Linked DNA regions of Diceros bicornis minor. The protein of the gene in region 2 binds, or shares a complex with, the protein of the main gene of each other region. Links are inferred from orthologs where the notes say so. Each region holds a gene or a part of one and is shown on either strand. Other genes may lie near its edges.

Region 1 (7,104 bases), on a different chromosome or scaffold from region 2:
CCTCAAAGCTTCCTTTAAATTCTAAAAAGTATAAAATACTATGTAAGTAATGTACTGTGCATTCATTGTTTTAATGTGAAATCTAAAACAGATTCTCTAATTCTGTCATGCAACAGTAAAACAAAATCAATGTTTGTGTATTGTCTGTCCTAATACACTTATTAGAAAGCTAATACTTGTGACTCTGCAAGTTGTGTTAGAGAATCTTGGATCTAGGTTTTCAAGTCCCATGTTAATTCAAAAAGATTCACTGTCCATAGATGCAAAAGTCAATACATTTTCTTTTTTTTTTTGCTTGAGGAAGACTAGCCCTGAGCTAACATCTGTGCCAATCTTCCTCTATTCTGTGTGGGGGGTGCCGCCTCAGCATGGCTGAGGAGCGGTGTAGGTCTGTGCCCGGATCCCGAAGCAGAGGACGCTGAACTTAACCACTGCATCATGTGGCCGGCATCCAAAGTCAATACATTTTTGTGTGTGTGTGTGTGTGAGGAAGATCAGCCCTGAGCTAACATCCGATGCCAATCCTCCTCTTTTTGCTGAGGAAGACTGGCCCTGGACTAACATCCGTGCCCATCTTCTTCTACTTTATATGGGACGCCACCACAGCATGGCTTGACAAGCAGTGCATTGGTGTGCGACTGGGATCTGAACCAAGGGCTGCTGCAGTAGAGCGCGTGCACTTAACTGTTGGCCACTGGGCTGGCCCAAAAGTCAATACATTTTTTAAAGGTTAAACTCAAAAGTTACCAAGTAACGCTTCCCTAATCAAAATCCATTGTCTCGGGGCCGGCCCGGTGGCGCAAGCGGTTAAGTGCGCGCGCTCCGCTGCGGCGGCCCGGGGTTCGCTGGTTCGGATCCCGGGCGCGCACCAACGCACTGCTTGGTAAGCCATGCTGTGGCGGCGTCCCATATAAAGTGGAGGAAGATGGGCACGGATGTTAGCCCAGGGCCGTCTTCCTCAGCAAAAAAAAGAGGAGGATTGGCGGATGTTAGCTCAGGGCTGATCTCCTCACCAAAAAAAAAAAAAAAAATCCATTGTCTCATTTTTACATTTCAGAGCTCTTTATAGTATAGAAAATTATGGAAAGAAAAAACAAATTTTAGGAAAAATTATCTACTTCTTTATATTCAGTTCTTTCAACACAAGAAAACAATATGTAGTACTTACCACTGAAGCAACCTGTCTCCCTGTGTTTCACAAAATGCCTGGAAGCCAGGAAAACTTCGGTAAAAGTCATACTCATCGCCAAACTGTGGTAGGCCCCCAGATGCCTTGGTGACTGCCACCACTGACCCAAGAGCAAACTGTCAAAAACCACAAAAACAAGCATGTTTATTTAAACAGGAGTCCCCATTCATTCAGCAACTTTTTTTCAAGATCTATATATGTGCATTACATATAATGCATTGTGCTAGATGATGAAGATATCCTATCTTTACACATCCAAAAAATATTCATTTAGTGCTGATTTTACCCTAGGTCCTAAGGAAACAATGGTGAACACGAAACCAAGTTTTGGAGCTTATATTCTTGGGAGAGTGGGGAGAGAAAGAACAACTACATACATCACTTAGGCTAGCGCCTGGCACATAAGCGCCATTATTATTACTACTACTCAAATTCAGGTCCATGAGCTTTCTACAGAAAATTATTTTTGTGTTTTCATTTGGGAAGAGCATCTAAAAACAATATAAGAATATTCTAGGTCCTTCGGATGACCAATTTATAATGGCTACTGCCCACAACTGGACTTGTGTTTATGGTCCAGTTAGTGCCAGGTAGTTGTCTACGTTTTCTTTTTTTTTTTCAGAATAATTTTTTTTTGTGTGTGTGAGGAGATCAGCCCTGTGCTAACACCTGCCAATCCTCCTCTTTTTTTGCTGAGGAAGACTGGCCCTGGGCTAACATCTGTGCCCATCTTCCTCCACTTTATATGGGCCGCCACCCCAGCGTGGCTTGACAAGCGGTGTGTTGGTGCGCAACCGGGATCCGAACCGGCGAACCCTGGGCCGCCGCAGCGGAGCGCGTGCACTTAACCGCTTGTACCACCGGGCCGGCCCCAAGTAGTTGTCTATTTTAATTGTGTGGTCATGAGAAAAAACCTGAAGTGACTGTCATAGATAAATGATGGTTGGTCAGGTGAAGGCCAAATGACATCATTGTGAGTTGCGTAATAAACATTTTCCAAAAAAAAATGAGAGAAAGGAGGTGGGAACTTGAGTCACGTGAGTATATGGTGGCTTGTGAGCACAAAGGCCACCTAATCAGGACCACGGCTAGTGGTCCAGGAACAACTCAGAGCCAAATAAATGAATTAACAATAGCATCTGCTTATTAGATATAACGTGAGTGGAGTTTTTGGAACTTGTAGTGCTAACTTACAAGTTATTTTAGCTTCATGGCTTCGTAACAGCTTTGCATGAGGCGTTTAAACCTAGTTTTATGTTTGTTCATATTTAAACATCAATACACAAATAATTTAACTGAACCCTGTGTTCCTTCAAGAAGGCATTGATAAATGTGCTAACGCACTTAGAGGAGGCTGACTCGGTGACAGCTCTCACGGGGACATTAAACCCAGGGTTGGGGATTATGTAGGACTGGACCTCCGGAGAGGGAAGAAGGGCCATCCCAGAGGCGCGAGGGGAGGACGCCGGCAGCTGTGGGAAGCCTAAAGCTGCGGAGTCCCTCCGGAGAGTTGGATGGGTGGCTCAGGCCTGGGGGGGGGGGCTGGGGACATCAGGGTGACAAGGAGGCCCTTCCCACGACGCGGAGACGGCGCTCCACACTCAGAGCTGCATGCGCTCCAAGGAGAGAACGAGGGCCCTGGGAAGCAGAGCGTCCCTCAGCGTCCGCGTGCGAGGCCCCATCCCCGGGGGTGAAGGGAGAGACTGTGCCCGGCGCGGGTAACGGCCCTTCGCCCCCCGCCCGGGCTCTGCTGCGGCTCGCGCACGGCCGGGAGTGCGGCCGCAGAGAGGGCCCGGGCCTGCTTCCGGCCGGCCGCGGGCGGCTCCCGGTGCCCCCAAGGCCCCGCGAGCTCACCTTCACGAAGCTGTCTGCGTCCGGGAAGCCCGGCAGCACCATCTCTCCGTCGGACTTGGCCGCGCTTGTTGTCGACGGGGCTTTGGGATCTCCGGGACTGGGAAGCGCCATTTTCCCGGCCTGCACGGCTCTTCTCGCGAGAGTGCCTCGGGCCGACGCGACATGCGCGCACCACGCATGTGCAAAGGCTGTCGTCGCGGGGGACGAGCTGCGGGCAACGTGCGTTGAGGTTTCAGGCTTGAGCGCCCCACCGGGGGGGCTTTGCATCTTTTGTTTAACCTGATTGTATCGTCCCAACAATCTGTGATTTAGGGTGGGACCCGGAGGACCCAGTTATTCTCATATTTAAAGTCAGCTCCTCCCAAGCTCTGGTTCCGTGCCTCCCCCTCCCAACTTGATCGTGGCTCCTGCAATTATCTCCTCTCTCTGGCATCACCTATCTTTCCCCTGGATACAGGTTCATTCCTAACAGCCTACACATGTGACGGTATCTCTCCCAAGTAAAAAGACAAAACAAAAACAACACGACCCCACGCCTCCTTCCAGCCACCGGCGCATTTCTCCTGCCTCTTACAGGTGAACTCGAAAAGACGTCTGCCTGCTCCCCCTGTACTTAGTCACCTCCAGTGCTCTCGAACTCCTGCAGTCAGACGTTCCTCCCCATCTACACCGCTGGAGCCACTCTTGGTAAGGCATAGTGGGAACTCAAACATTTGTTAAATGAATGCCTGGAAGAGCATAGTTATGAAGGAGGCACTGTATTATCACGCAGCTCAGGGGATGGGTTTTGGGAAGCTCAGCAGGGCGTATCTTCTCTCCTAAGATCGGGGTAGCACATCCTTAATACAAGTCGTTTGACTTAGTAAGTGTTCAACAAATGTTACCTGTCATCGTTATTCGGAGTATTCTTTTAGCAGGATACTTTTCATTTCCCCCCCAATTTGTGTACCTCAGGTACACAGGTGCCCTGGCAGAACAAAGGCCTAGCCTTGTTCCTTTTAACAACTAATACTTTTGAGCACTTATTTCATATAGTTCAACGTAATATCACATGTGAGGCTGTGCTGAGTGCTTTCCATGGTTATTATCTCATCCTCAAAACAACCTTTATGTGGTAGATCACACCATTATGCACACTTTCAGAGGAGGAAACAGGCATAGAGAGGTTAAGTAACTTGGCCAAAGTCACACAGGGAGTATGATGTGGGGCTGAGATTTGAAACTACGCAATCTGACACTACAGCCTTGACTCTTACAAACCACTTTACATGCCTCCCAGAGTTTTAAGGCCCAGCCTATGGCACCCTGTGAATGTAAGGACCCCCAAAGTCATTCTTTGCCACATCCCTCCCTTCACAAAGCAGTTGTGTGAAACAATCTGGATTGATAGGGTAATTAGACTGTCTTCAAATGCCTTGATTATTTCCTCACTTGCCCCTGGTAATTCATCTCAACAAAGGATTTGCTTAGATGTAACTTAAAACCCATTGGATTCACCAAAGATCTTTTTTTTTTTTTTTTTTTTGGGGAGGGAGATCAGCCCTGAGCTAACATCCGTGCTAATCCTCCTCTTTTTGCTGAAGAAGACCAGCTCTGAGCTAACATCTATTGCCAATCCTCCTCCTTTTTTCCTTCCCCGAAGCCCCAGTAGATAGCTGTATGTCATAGTTGCACATCCTTCTAGTTGCTGTATGTGGGACACAGCCTCAGCATGGGCGGAGAAGCAGTGTGTCGGTGTGCGCCTGAGATCCGAACCCGGGCCTCCAGTAGCGGAGCTGGCGAACTTAACCATTAAGCCACTGGGCCCGCCCATCACCAAAGATCTTAATCCCAATGACTCTCCTGTCCTGAGGTATGTCTTTACCACTGATTGCCACAATTTCCCTGAGTCCATTCATTCCTATGCCCTTTATCTTTCATGAATGGTAAGATCACTGTAGTCATTGATAATTATTTCAGGTAGAACCAAGAAAGTTATGGTGATCACATTTTCTGTCACAAAAGTTGATACATGGTTTAAGATTGTTCATGGAGGGCTGGCCGGGTGGCTTAGTGGTTAAGTGCACGTGCTCCACTACTGGCGGCCCAGGTTCGGATCCCGGGCGTGCACCGATGCACCGCTTCTCCTGCCATGCTGAGGCTGCGGCCCACATATAGCAACTGGAAGGATGTGCAGCTATGACATACAGCTGTCTACTGGGGCATTGGGGGGAAAAAAAAGGAGAAGGATTGGCAATAGATGTTAGCTCAGAGCCGGTCTTCCTCAGCAAAAAGAGGAGGATTAGCATGGATGTTAGCTCAGGGCTGATCTTCCTCACAACAACAACAAGATTGTTCATGGAAAATTTAAGATAGGTATGAGATTTTCTAGCTGTGAAGGTTAAAACTGTTATTAGTATCACTAAAAATCCAAAAAATCCATCTTTGTTTTTAATAGAAGAGTCCTCAAACAAACCTATATGGAATACCACTGTGGGCTAGGTCTTCTGGCAGATTTTGGGGATACAAAGTCACATACGATATGCCTCCTGGCCTTGTAATTCTCATGCTCCCCTAACACAAGTTCTTTGAATAGCTTTTATAATGATACAGTATTTCTCACTGGGTAGCTGTGGCCCATAGGAATTTAGAAAAAAAAATTTACTTGAACAACTAAAAACGATCTTCTTTGGAAGAACTTCTCTTTAGGCATGCTTTCTTTTTTTTTTGTGAGGAAGATCAGCCCTGAGCTAACATCCATGCCAGTCCTCGTTTTTTTTTTTTTGCTGAGGAAGACTGGCCCTGGGCTAACATCCGTGCCCATCTTCCTCCACTTTATGTGGGACGCTGCCACAGCATGGCCTGACAAGCGGTGCGTCAGTGCACACCCGGGACCCGAACCCGGGCCGCCAGCAGAGGAGCGCGCGCACTTAACCGCTACGCCGTGGTCAGGCCCCCAGGTGTGCTCTTTCTTTAGAGGAACCCAAACATAGTACTGGCCAGCTCCATTCAATGTTCTCTCCTCTCCATTATTGCAACAGCCTCTTGACTAGATCTTGTGGCTTCTCATTTTCTTTCCACTTGTTTGACACCAGGTGGCTCTTAAAAACACGACTCAGATTCTACTTCTGTTTTAAAACTTCACATGGTTCCCTGTCGTCCACAGCATCACGTTCAAACTCCTTGCCGTTTGAGGCAAGGCCAGTCTGGCCTCACTCTGCTTTGTAGCCTCCTTTTAGTTCCTATTACTCCTTTTATTCCGTACTGACCACTGAGCCAGATATGCTGAACTCTGAGGTCCAGCTGTGAGAAACTGCCATTTTATGTATCAACAGTGGCTGAATACCTGCAATCTAATCTTGTTCAAGTTACTACTTGCCATTGCTGCACGATATTGTGCTTTTATCTCTCGATTCTGCCAGGAATGTCCTCATCTGCTTCATCTGACAAACTCCCACTCCTCCTTTAAGACCCGTGGCAAATGTCCCCCTTTCCCCCAGGCTTTCCTGGCTCGCCCAGTGAGTTAGTGCCCCCTCTTACGCTCACCCTCTGGACGTGGCTCTTCTCACCGCTTAGGTTGGTGGAGTTGTCAGTCCGCTCCTAGGTGACGCCGCCTCTGCCTTGTCTGGCCTGTGAACACCGCGAGGAGAGGGACCACGTCGTGTAGATCCCACATCCTGTGTAGTTGCTAGTACTAAGTGCTTAATGAATGTTGAAGGAATAACTGCTTCCTTTATGAACTAATGATCATGAATAAAAAGCCACTCATATACATGTTTTTAAAATTCTGATGTCATTTATTGGCACAAAAATTATTCAGATACAACATGGTGTCTAGACATGGCTACACTTTATACTTTGTGCATTTAGTTTAATATTTCTTTTGCTCGTAATTCCCAACATGTACTAGACCTGGCCTCTCTTGTGTTCAGCACCTCCATGACAGCATTTCTGTTTTCCAAGCCCTTGCTCTAAACATAGAGCATCAGACCTCACTGAAAACACCCAGAATCGTGCTGGGGAAGGCCATTGTGGGCCACCCTACTGCGCCACGATCTCCTCTGTGCACCTGCTCAGCTGAG
Region 2 (7,981 bases):
TGCTTACCAAATAGGAAAAACAGCGTGTTATCATATGCGCCTATTTCATAACTCCTCATCTTTTGTTTTTACATTTAATGTATTCAGAGACAAGGTAAAGCAATGGAAAATCAATAGTTTTTCATCAAGTTAAGTACTTTTGAAATGTTCAGGAGAAAAAAACATTTAAATTCCAATTCTTTGCTTTTGAATGTCCCAGGAACTGGCTTTTAAAACACTCCTTAATATTAAAAATATTTTAGAAAACAGAAGTTGAAAAGGCTCGGCAGTGTGTTAGCAATCAGAATGATAACAACAAATTGATTTTAGTAGCAGAAATTGAAATACGACATTTGGAGCAGCATTTAAACCTGGATGTGTATAAACATCTATATCTTTGTGTCTGAACAAAATCAACTTCAAGCTCATTTAAAAATATTCTACCTGAAAAACCTGCACACAATCTAGAAAAACGCACATTTTTTTGAACTGAGCACATAATAAGGACAACTTATCATTTTCATATACAAATAAACATACTTCATCTTTTGCTACCTTAAAAAACCACAACATTTAAAAAAGAATGAACACATAGTTTCTGTTGTTTAAATAACCTGGGGTGTTAAGAGGTTGAATATATAATTCTAATATGCTGTTTTCATACAGTCTTTAAGTTCAAATCATAAATCTTTCCCAATGTTAAATGAAGCAGAACCATTTTTTAGAGTACAGTCGGCCCTCCGTATCCGCAGGTTCCGCATCCGCGGATTCAACCAACCGCGGATTTTACATGTAGGTACTATGTTTTTGATCCACAGTTTGGATTGGTTCCGTGGTCCTGGAACCAATCCCCCACTGATACCGAGGGGCGACTGTACTTGTTTAAAAGGTGAACAACTGTTATTCATTTAGGCACAAGGCAAGCATTTTAGACTCATTTCAATCAGAAATCTTTTGTTTAGCAAATACAACTACTATGGTTGGTAGTTATACTGGTAATCTAAAAATAAAACAAGTTAATTCTGGTTTCAATGACTAAATCACTACAAGTACAATTTGCATCCACAATAAAGGAGTCTAAAATTTAAAAATAAAGTACTCTTTTTCCCAAGGGAAAAAAAAGTAAGCTTCTGAAACAATATGTCTATAAATAAGATTACGTAAAATGCGTTATCAACAAGAAATCAGCAATAACTCGGCTACTATAAAAATGCAAACCAAAAGCCAAGAATCTTAAATACCCACATACTGGGGACACTGCAGTTTATTGATCTACAGTCAGATCTTTTGGCCAGGTGTTGAAGCAGAAATATAAAATAATGTTACTGCATTCCTCACTAGCAAAGAGAATACCAAATTAGTTCAAAAAGTCTCTTCTGACAAAGTAATGAATTCCTCCCCTCTCCATCCAACAAGGGGCTTTTTCTAAGGGGGAAACAAAAATCTATGCCATAAATAAATAAATAAATAATGAAAACCAGATACCTCCGGCCTCTTTGATGCTGCACAGCTTGACAAGCCGTTTGCATGAAAATAATTCCCTTTAATTCAGGAAACTCAAGGATCTCCAGGTAATCTTGAACAATTTTCCAATCTGGGATCACGTAATGAGTCACATCACTAGACAAGAGTTTCCCATCTGAAGCATAATTCAAAACGTAAGAGATTAGACAACATTTGCAAACCTGGATTATTTCAACGTTATGGTGCCCTAGTGTGCAAAATCACTTCCAATCTTACTACACGGTGAAGTTTTTTAAAGACAAGATAAATCTACTTTGGTAGAGGCACAAAGTTCAGGTAGATTCAGCACCGTCATTTTTCCGAAGCTGCGATAAATAAAAGCTCAATGTTGTTTACGGTGTTGCCAGGGAAGAAGGAGATGACTGATTTTTTAAAACAAACAAGCAAATCTTCAGAACAACCTGAATATTTCTGCGTTAACTCACTGACATACGCACATTCAAATGGGGCACCCCAAAATATACATGTTAACCACTTGTTTCGCCCAGCTATTTCAAGTCTCTGTCTCAAGTTGGTGAACATGCTCAGGAGTCTCCAAAGACCAAAAAGACTGAATTGACCAGAAAAGATGCTCAGTGCAAGCAAGGGCAGCGGTAGCGTTTCCACCCTGCCCGTGTCTCAGAGAGCTGGTTAGCCAAGCTGTAACTAAAACGTTCACCTTAACATAAGCTGAGGATTCCAAATATTCGCTGAAAAGGACCCCCACGCTCATCTCCCACCAGAGGGAAGAGAACCAGTAATCTTCCTCGATAAACTGGTCACCCTGCAGCCTAGAAACCAAGTAGGGAAGGTCTAATGCACAGCAGTCCCAAATCTAACTTCCCCACGACCTTCCTGTACAACGAGGGCCCAGATTATTCACAAATCCTGCAGTGAAGAGGGTGTCCACTGGATAAACGTCTGAGGCATCGGTGCCGGCAGGTCAGAATATTTGTGCGGAGCAAAGCAACGTAAAATGACGCCGCCGGCTCGCGCCCCGCCTCTCACTGCGGGGCCAACAGCTCAGGAACTCCCCAGTCACCACCACACGGTCCTGGGGCGCAAGAGGGGGCAGGTTCCTGAGCCCACAAGCCCCTCGGAAGGCAAATCACCGGGCCTCGGGGCTAGGGGGGCGTCCGTCTCCCGGCCCTTCCATGTTATGGAGCGGAGCAGTCGGGGAGTCCCGTGTGGGGAGCCCAGAAGCAGCGGACGAGGGGCGTCTCTGCGGCTCTGAAGCCGCCGGCCCCTCGCTCCTGACCCGCAGTCGGGCCGGAGGTAATGCCTGCGGGCGGGCGCCTCCGCGGCCTCGCGCTCCGCCTCCAGGCCGTGCCCTTCCTCCTCACGGCGGGCGCTCGGCCCCGGCCCCGCCGCCCTCCGCTCCCCTCGCTCCCGCCCGGCCTCGGCCCCCCTCGCTCCCGCCCGGCCGCCCTCCGCTCCCCTCACTCCCGCCTCGGCTCCCCTCGCTCCCGCCCGGCCCCCCTCGCTCCCGCCCGGCCGCCCTGGCTCCCGCCGGGCCCCTGACCGTTGCGGCAGGCGGCGGGCTGCGGGCAGAGCGGGCTGTTGCAGGGCACGCTGGGCCGCAGGTAATGCTCCCGCACGATCCGCAGCGTCCGGCCCTGGAAGGTCCTCAGGAGCAGCACTTTCTCCCGCTTCTGCAGCATGGTGGCGGCGCTCGCCCGGCAGAGCTCCGGGCCCCGAGAGGCCGCCCCGAGCGAGCGGCCGGGAAGCGGCGGGCGCGGCGCGGCGCCGGCGCAGGCGAGGCCGAGGCTCCGGGCCCGCCCCCTGGGCCTGGCCGGCCTGGTCTACGCGCGGCTCCGGCCGGGCCCGGCCCTCCTGCCAGCTGCCTGGGCGCTCCGGGGGAGCGGGGGGCTGAAACGGCGGTAACCGCCTGGGTCCCGGGGTTGAGAGCAGGAGGAGGCCCTCTCCCCCAACCTGCCTCAGTTTCTCCCCTCCTACAGTTGCTTGGGGGCAGGGAGGGATGGAAACCACCCCAAAGACCTATGGGAGATAAAGATAATATATGGAAGCTAGTGTAAAGTCTTGGGAAAGAAGATTTGGTGCAACTATAAAGGATTATTATACTTTGTTTCTACCCCCAGGTCCATATGGGAACGGGGCTGTTGTTCTAATATGGGTAATTATTAGTGTTTTCTGTTGGTTGCTCTTGCTGTCCCTGAAGGAGCCAAAAGATTCAGTAAATAAGCCAGCAACCCTGCCAACACAACATTTTTTTTCCCTTAAATACGTTGTATTTATTTTTAATTCCATGTATTTTTAATCCATACAAAAATTCAAATAATGCAGATAAAATGAAAACCAGTCCCTTCCCTTGAGGTAAACACTATCCATTCAACCCCAACTTTATAGCATTTGCAGCTTCTGGCAAAGGAATTCTCCTTTAAAGTTGATGGAGACTCATACAGTTTCTTCTGAGATCACACACTTTGGGTTGGATAGAAGCCACTGTTCTTCAAAGCACTCAGCAAAGACTTTTGAGCTGCACCAGAAGCTTTACATACAAGTGCCCCATTTAATTTCTACAAGTCAATGGAGTTAGACATTATTATCCCCATTTTACAGATGATGACACTGGATTAGGGAGGTTAAGTGGCCAGGGTTACCCAGTTATTAAGTGGTGGAATCAATATTCAAGCCAGAATCTGGCTGAATCCAAAGCAGGCTCTTAACTAATTACTGGGCTGTTAGATGAATAAAATATAGCTCTTGTATCTAAGGAGTTTATAGTCTACTTGTTGAGCTCTGGTTAAGGCAGCTCTACCAGCTGACTGGGAACATCAAAGCTTCCTCTTACCCTGAAGTTAGCAAAACTAGGGTCTCCTGGTGGATCACTTCCTTTACTCTAGAGGAACATATTACAAAGTCATGGTCTCATATTACAAAGTCATGGACGGAGTATTTTTGGTCAGGTTATCTGTAGTGTGGGATGATATGAGTGAGATCCCAGACGGAATTGCACAAGTTAGGAAAACATTACAGTGCTGGTCCACAGGCCAGAGCGTTAGGAGGGCCCACAAGGCAACCGGCAGTGCAGGAGGCCTCCCTAATTGAGGAGGTCAGTTCTAGAGATCCCAGAGGAAGGGAAAGTAGCCAAATTTGTGCCCTACATAGAAGTGCTTCAGACAGCTGCCCACAATTCCGTCCAAAGCTCATCCATTTTCATTTTTCTTTTACTTCTGATTATATGTCCTTAACATTTCTCTTTAGCATTTGGTAGCTTTAATCTTTCTCTAAATTGGGACTAATGATCTTTTAAGGAAGAGAGTGTGTCTAGGGCTCTATTGAAAGTTGATTTTATCAGTATTTAAAATAATCCAAGGCCCATCAAGCACTTCCTTTGCTTGCATTGAGGCAATAATGTACAAATTATGTTCTTAAAAGCATGATCCCTTAGTTCTTGGAAGTGATGATCTAAAATGGACAAGAATGCCTTTCTGTTGGTTTGTTTGTTCACAGACCATCTGATGCCTCTTGCCTGAAAAAAAGGTTTCTATATCAATCAGAATAAACTAGGTTATGCTGCAGTAATATACAACTTCAAAAATCCCAGTGCCTTAAAACAACAAGATGTTGCCTGGGTGCCTAGAGGCTCCGTTTTGTGTTGTGCTTCTCCAGGACCCAGGGTGACGGAGCCAGTTGTCTCTGCGATACTGTTTGCTGTTCATTGGCAGAGGGCAAAGAGCCCTCTAGACAGCCTTACGCGAGCAATTAAAAGCTCAGTCCAGAAGTGGTACATGTCACTTCTGCCTGTTGGCCGGAACTAGTCACATGACCACACATCCAATGGGGATAGAGGGATGAGAGAGAGAGAAAGAGAGAGAGAGAGAGTAGGGAGTGGGGAGGTGGCAGACGGGGGCAGGAAGTGCATTTCTACCTCATAGCCTGAAGGCACAGTGCCGAAACCCTTTGATGAGCAGCATTTGTGTCTACCTGAATGCTCCCAACTCAAACCCCTTAGCCCTAAGTGGGTCTGCTCTGCCATCACCCTTGTACCTGTGACTACTCCAGCTCAGCCCGCTATCCAGTCCCTGCTTGGGCATTCTACTGCTCACCTCTTTACATCCTCGGCCCCCTCCCCAATAGCCCCAATGAGCCAAGCATACATCACCGCATCATCTTTAATCCTCATCACAGTCCCTCAAGGTAAATATGTCATTTCTTGTGCCAGAGACTGGCTCTCTGATCACTGAATCCATGTCCTCTTTTTCTCTGGGCACATAGATGAATCACATTTCCCAGCCTCCCTTTGCACATAGATGGGTGTGGCCACAGAATGTAATCGTACCATTTCCAGGCCTGGCCCATAAAAACCTCCCGTGAGCACTCCTCTTTCCTGTTCCACTGGCTGGATGCCAAAGCCCAGGGGCTCTTGGAAGGCAGCACTGAAGACAGCACGCCCCCTCCCCCAATCAACTTGGGTCCCAGACGGACTGTGCAGAGCAGAGCCCTGCCTCCCCCAACCAGGAGCATCCACAGGGGACTCTTGTAAGGGGGAAATAAACTTTTGTTTTAGCAGCTAGCATTACCTTAATCAATACATCCCCACTGTACAAGGGAGATTAAGAAACTTGCTGAAGGGGTGCCTATTTGTTTCAAAACCCCTCTCTAGTTATTAAATGTCGTGATGAAGCTGCTTGAGGATTCTACAGCAGTTCTAAATTGTACAGTGCTCTAGGAGGTGGGAGAGCAGCAGTGGTATTCGGTGCTCTAGTTTGGTCTGGGCTATGGTGCCACAGCAGTGCCACACTGGGAGGGATGCTTGGCAGCTTGCTTCTCTTTTCAGTTTTCCCTTTCCTTGTCAATCCAAGTGCAGATGGGCAGCCTGGTGCTCAGATAGCAGAATGCTGTGACAGCTTTCAGCCCTGTGTTGAAGATGGAAATCTCTGATTGTGGCTCGGTTTCCCTGGTGCATGACTGCAGTCTTCTTCAGGCTGAGCACCAGCGTGCTTACACTGCAGGAGTTTGTAGCATTTGCTGCATCTCTTTTTGCAGATGCACTCTGGGAGTGCAGACATCAGCAACCACTGGATTAAAATCAAAAGGTCTCATCAAAAGGTTAGCCTAGAGAGGGTGGGGCATCTTTACAAAGGGCTAAGATGACAGGGAGGTTAAATGTATAAAAGAAATTCTGGAAGGTGAACTGCAAGGGCTAGAGTGGATTACTGAAGCAAGCTTTGAAATATTCTGTCACTATTTATTTACTTAAAATTACAATAGTACAACATGCTTGTTGCAACACATTCCAACAATACTGAATTGTGCCAAGTAAAAACATTGAAGCTCAGTTTGCATCTGAAGTCTACTCCTCCCAAGTCATTTACTGTTGTTGAGAGCTGGTATGCATCCTAGAAGGCTTTAAATATAATCCAAAGTTTGCAACTTTTTGAAGAACTTGTCAATCTATGTAGTATCAGCTAATTACAGTTAATGTTTCTCAAACTTTTACTAGGTGCCACTCACTGCTCTAAGCACTTTTCTGTGTTTTCTCATTTAATCCTCAAAACAATGCCTTGACTGTGATGCTGTTACCAACTCCATTTTACAGGCAGGAAACTGAAGTAAGAAAGGACTGAGTAGGCCACACACTCAATGTATGGTTTTGGCTACAGAGCCCAGGCAGTAATGACATAGCCATGCCACCTTTCAGCTAGAGAACAGCAAGAGTTACAGCATGCGGTACATTCTATATGATGGAGCTAGGATGACCCCAGTTATTTTAGGTTTAGGGAATTGGAAACAATGACAGTCAAATATTGACCCTACTACTTTCCTAACTTCCATGAGCCTTGGTGATTTCCACTATAAAAGACAGCTAGCAGGACAGATGGTGCTGAGTATTGGTATTAACCAGTCAATGATTCTAAAGGGTCATGTAAGTATCTAAAATTATCCCATTTCTCTGAAGAATCCGCTTACTTTCATTTGTGCTCCACCTCAGTGGAAGAGTCATTGGAGGACAAACGGCTGCTGAGATTCCTCTGCTACTTGTATTAGGGATAATTTAATTTCCTATATGTTAAAGGCTGTTAATCCTTGATTTTCACTTTTCCCAGCAGATACAATGGCTCCCTTTTGGCTTTCTAAACACCCTGTGAATCCCCATAATCCACTTTGCAATGATTACTCTAAAACGTTCTGCTTAACCCTTTCTAATTTTTTAGAGAGAAATTATTTCGTACTTACCAATTCATATCTCAGCAAGATTTTTGCTATACTGTTGACCTACCAGTAATTTTGTCCTTCTACCACTAAGGGGCACTGTTTCATTGATTTTGGGGGGGGGGCGGTTGGCAGGAGGGTGCTTCTGCTAAAGTCCCTTCTGTGCTGGTATCTGAGTAGCTGATACTTGGCCTTTCACATACTGCCATTAAAATGCAGCCAATTATTTGAGGCAAAAAACAAACAAACAAAAACAACCTTAGTATTACACAATACGTTTATCCAAGGAGCTCAAAGGTCCAGATGCTCCAAAATTAATTAG

What was found.
Region 1: DIS3L (region 2) and EXOSC10 share a complex: the UniProt entries of both Homo sapiens proteins name them as parts of the RNA exosome complex. The link is inferred for Diceros bicornis minor from reciprocal best matches to the Homo sapiens genes DIS3L and EXOSC10.

Annotation. Positions count from the first base shown.
Region 1 is NC_080752.1:30,363,293-30,370,396, forward strand, and holds the start of EXOSC10 (exosome component 10), read right to left. Parts: upstream 3,206-7,104; 5' UTR 3,155-3,205; coding exon 3,044-3,154; intron 1,306-3,043; coding exon 1,169-1,305; intron 1-1,168. UniProt on the Homo sapiens protein: Catalytic component of the RNA exosome complex which has 3'->5' exoribonuclease activity and participates in a multitude of cellular RNA processing and degradation events.
Region 2 is NC_080744.1:60,497,802-60,505,782, reverse strand, and holds the start of DIS3L (DIS3-like exonuclease 1), read right to left. Parts: upstream 3,200-7,981; 5' UTR 3,144-3,199; coding exon 3,005-3,143; intron 1,619-3,004; coding exon 1,465-1,618; intron 1-1,464. UniProt on the Homo sapiens protein: Catalytic component of the RNA exosome complex which has 3'->5' exoribonuclease activity and participates in a multitude of cellular RNA processing and degradation events.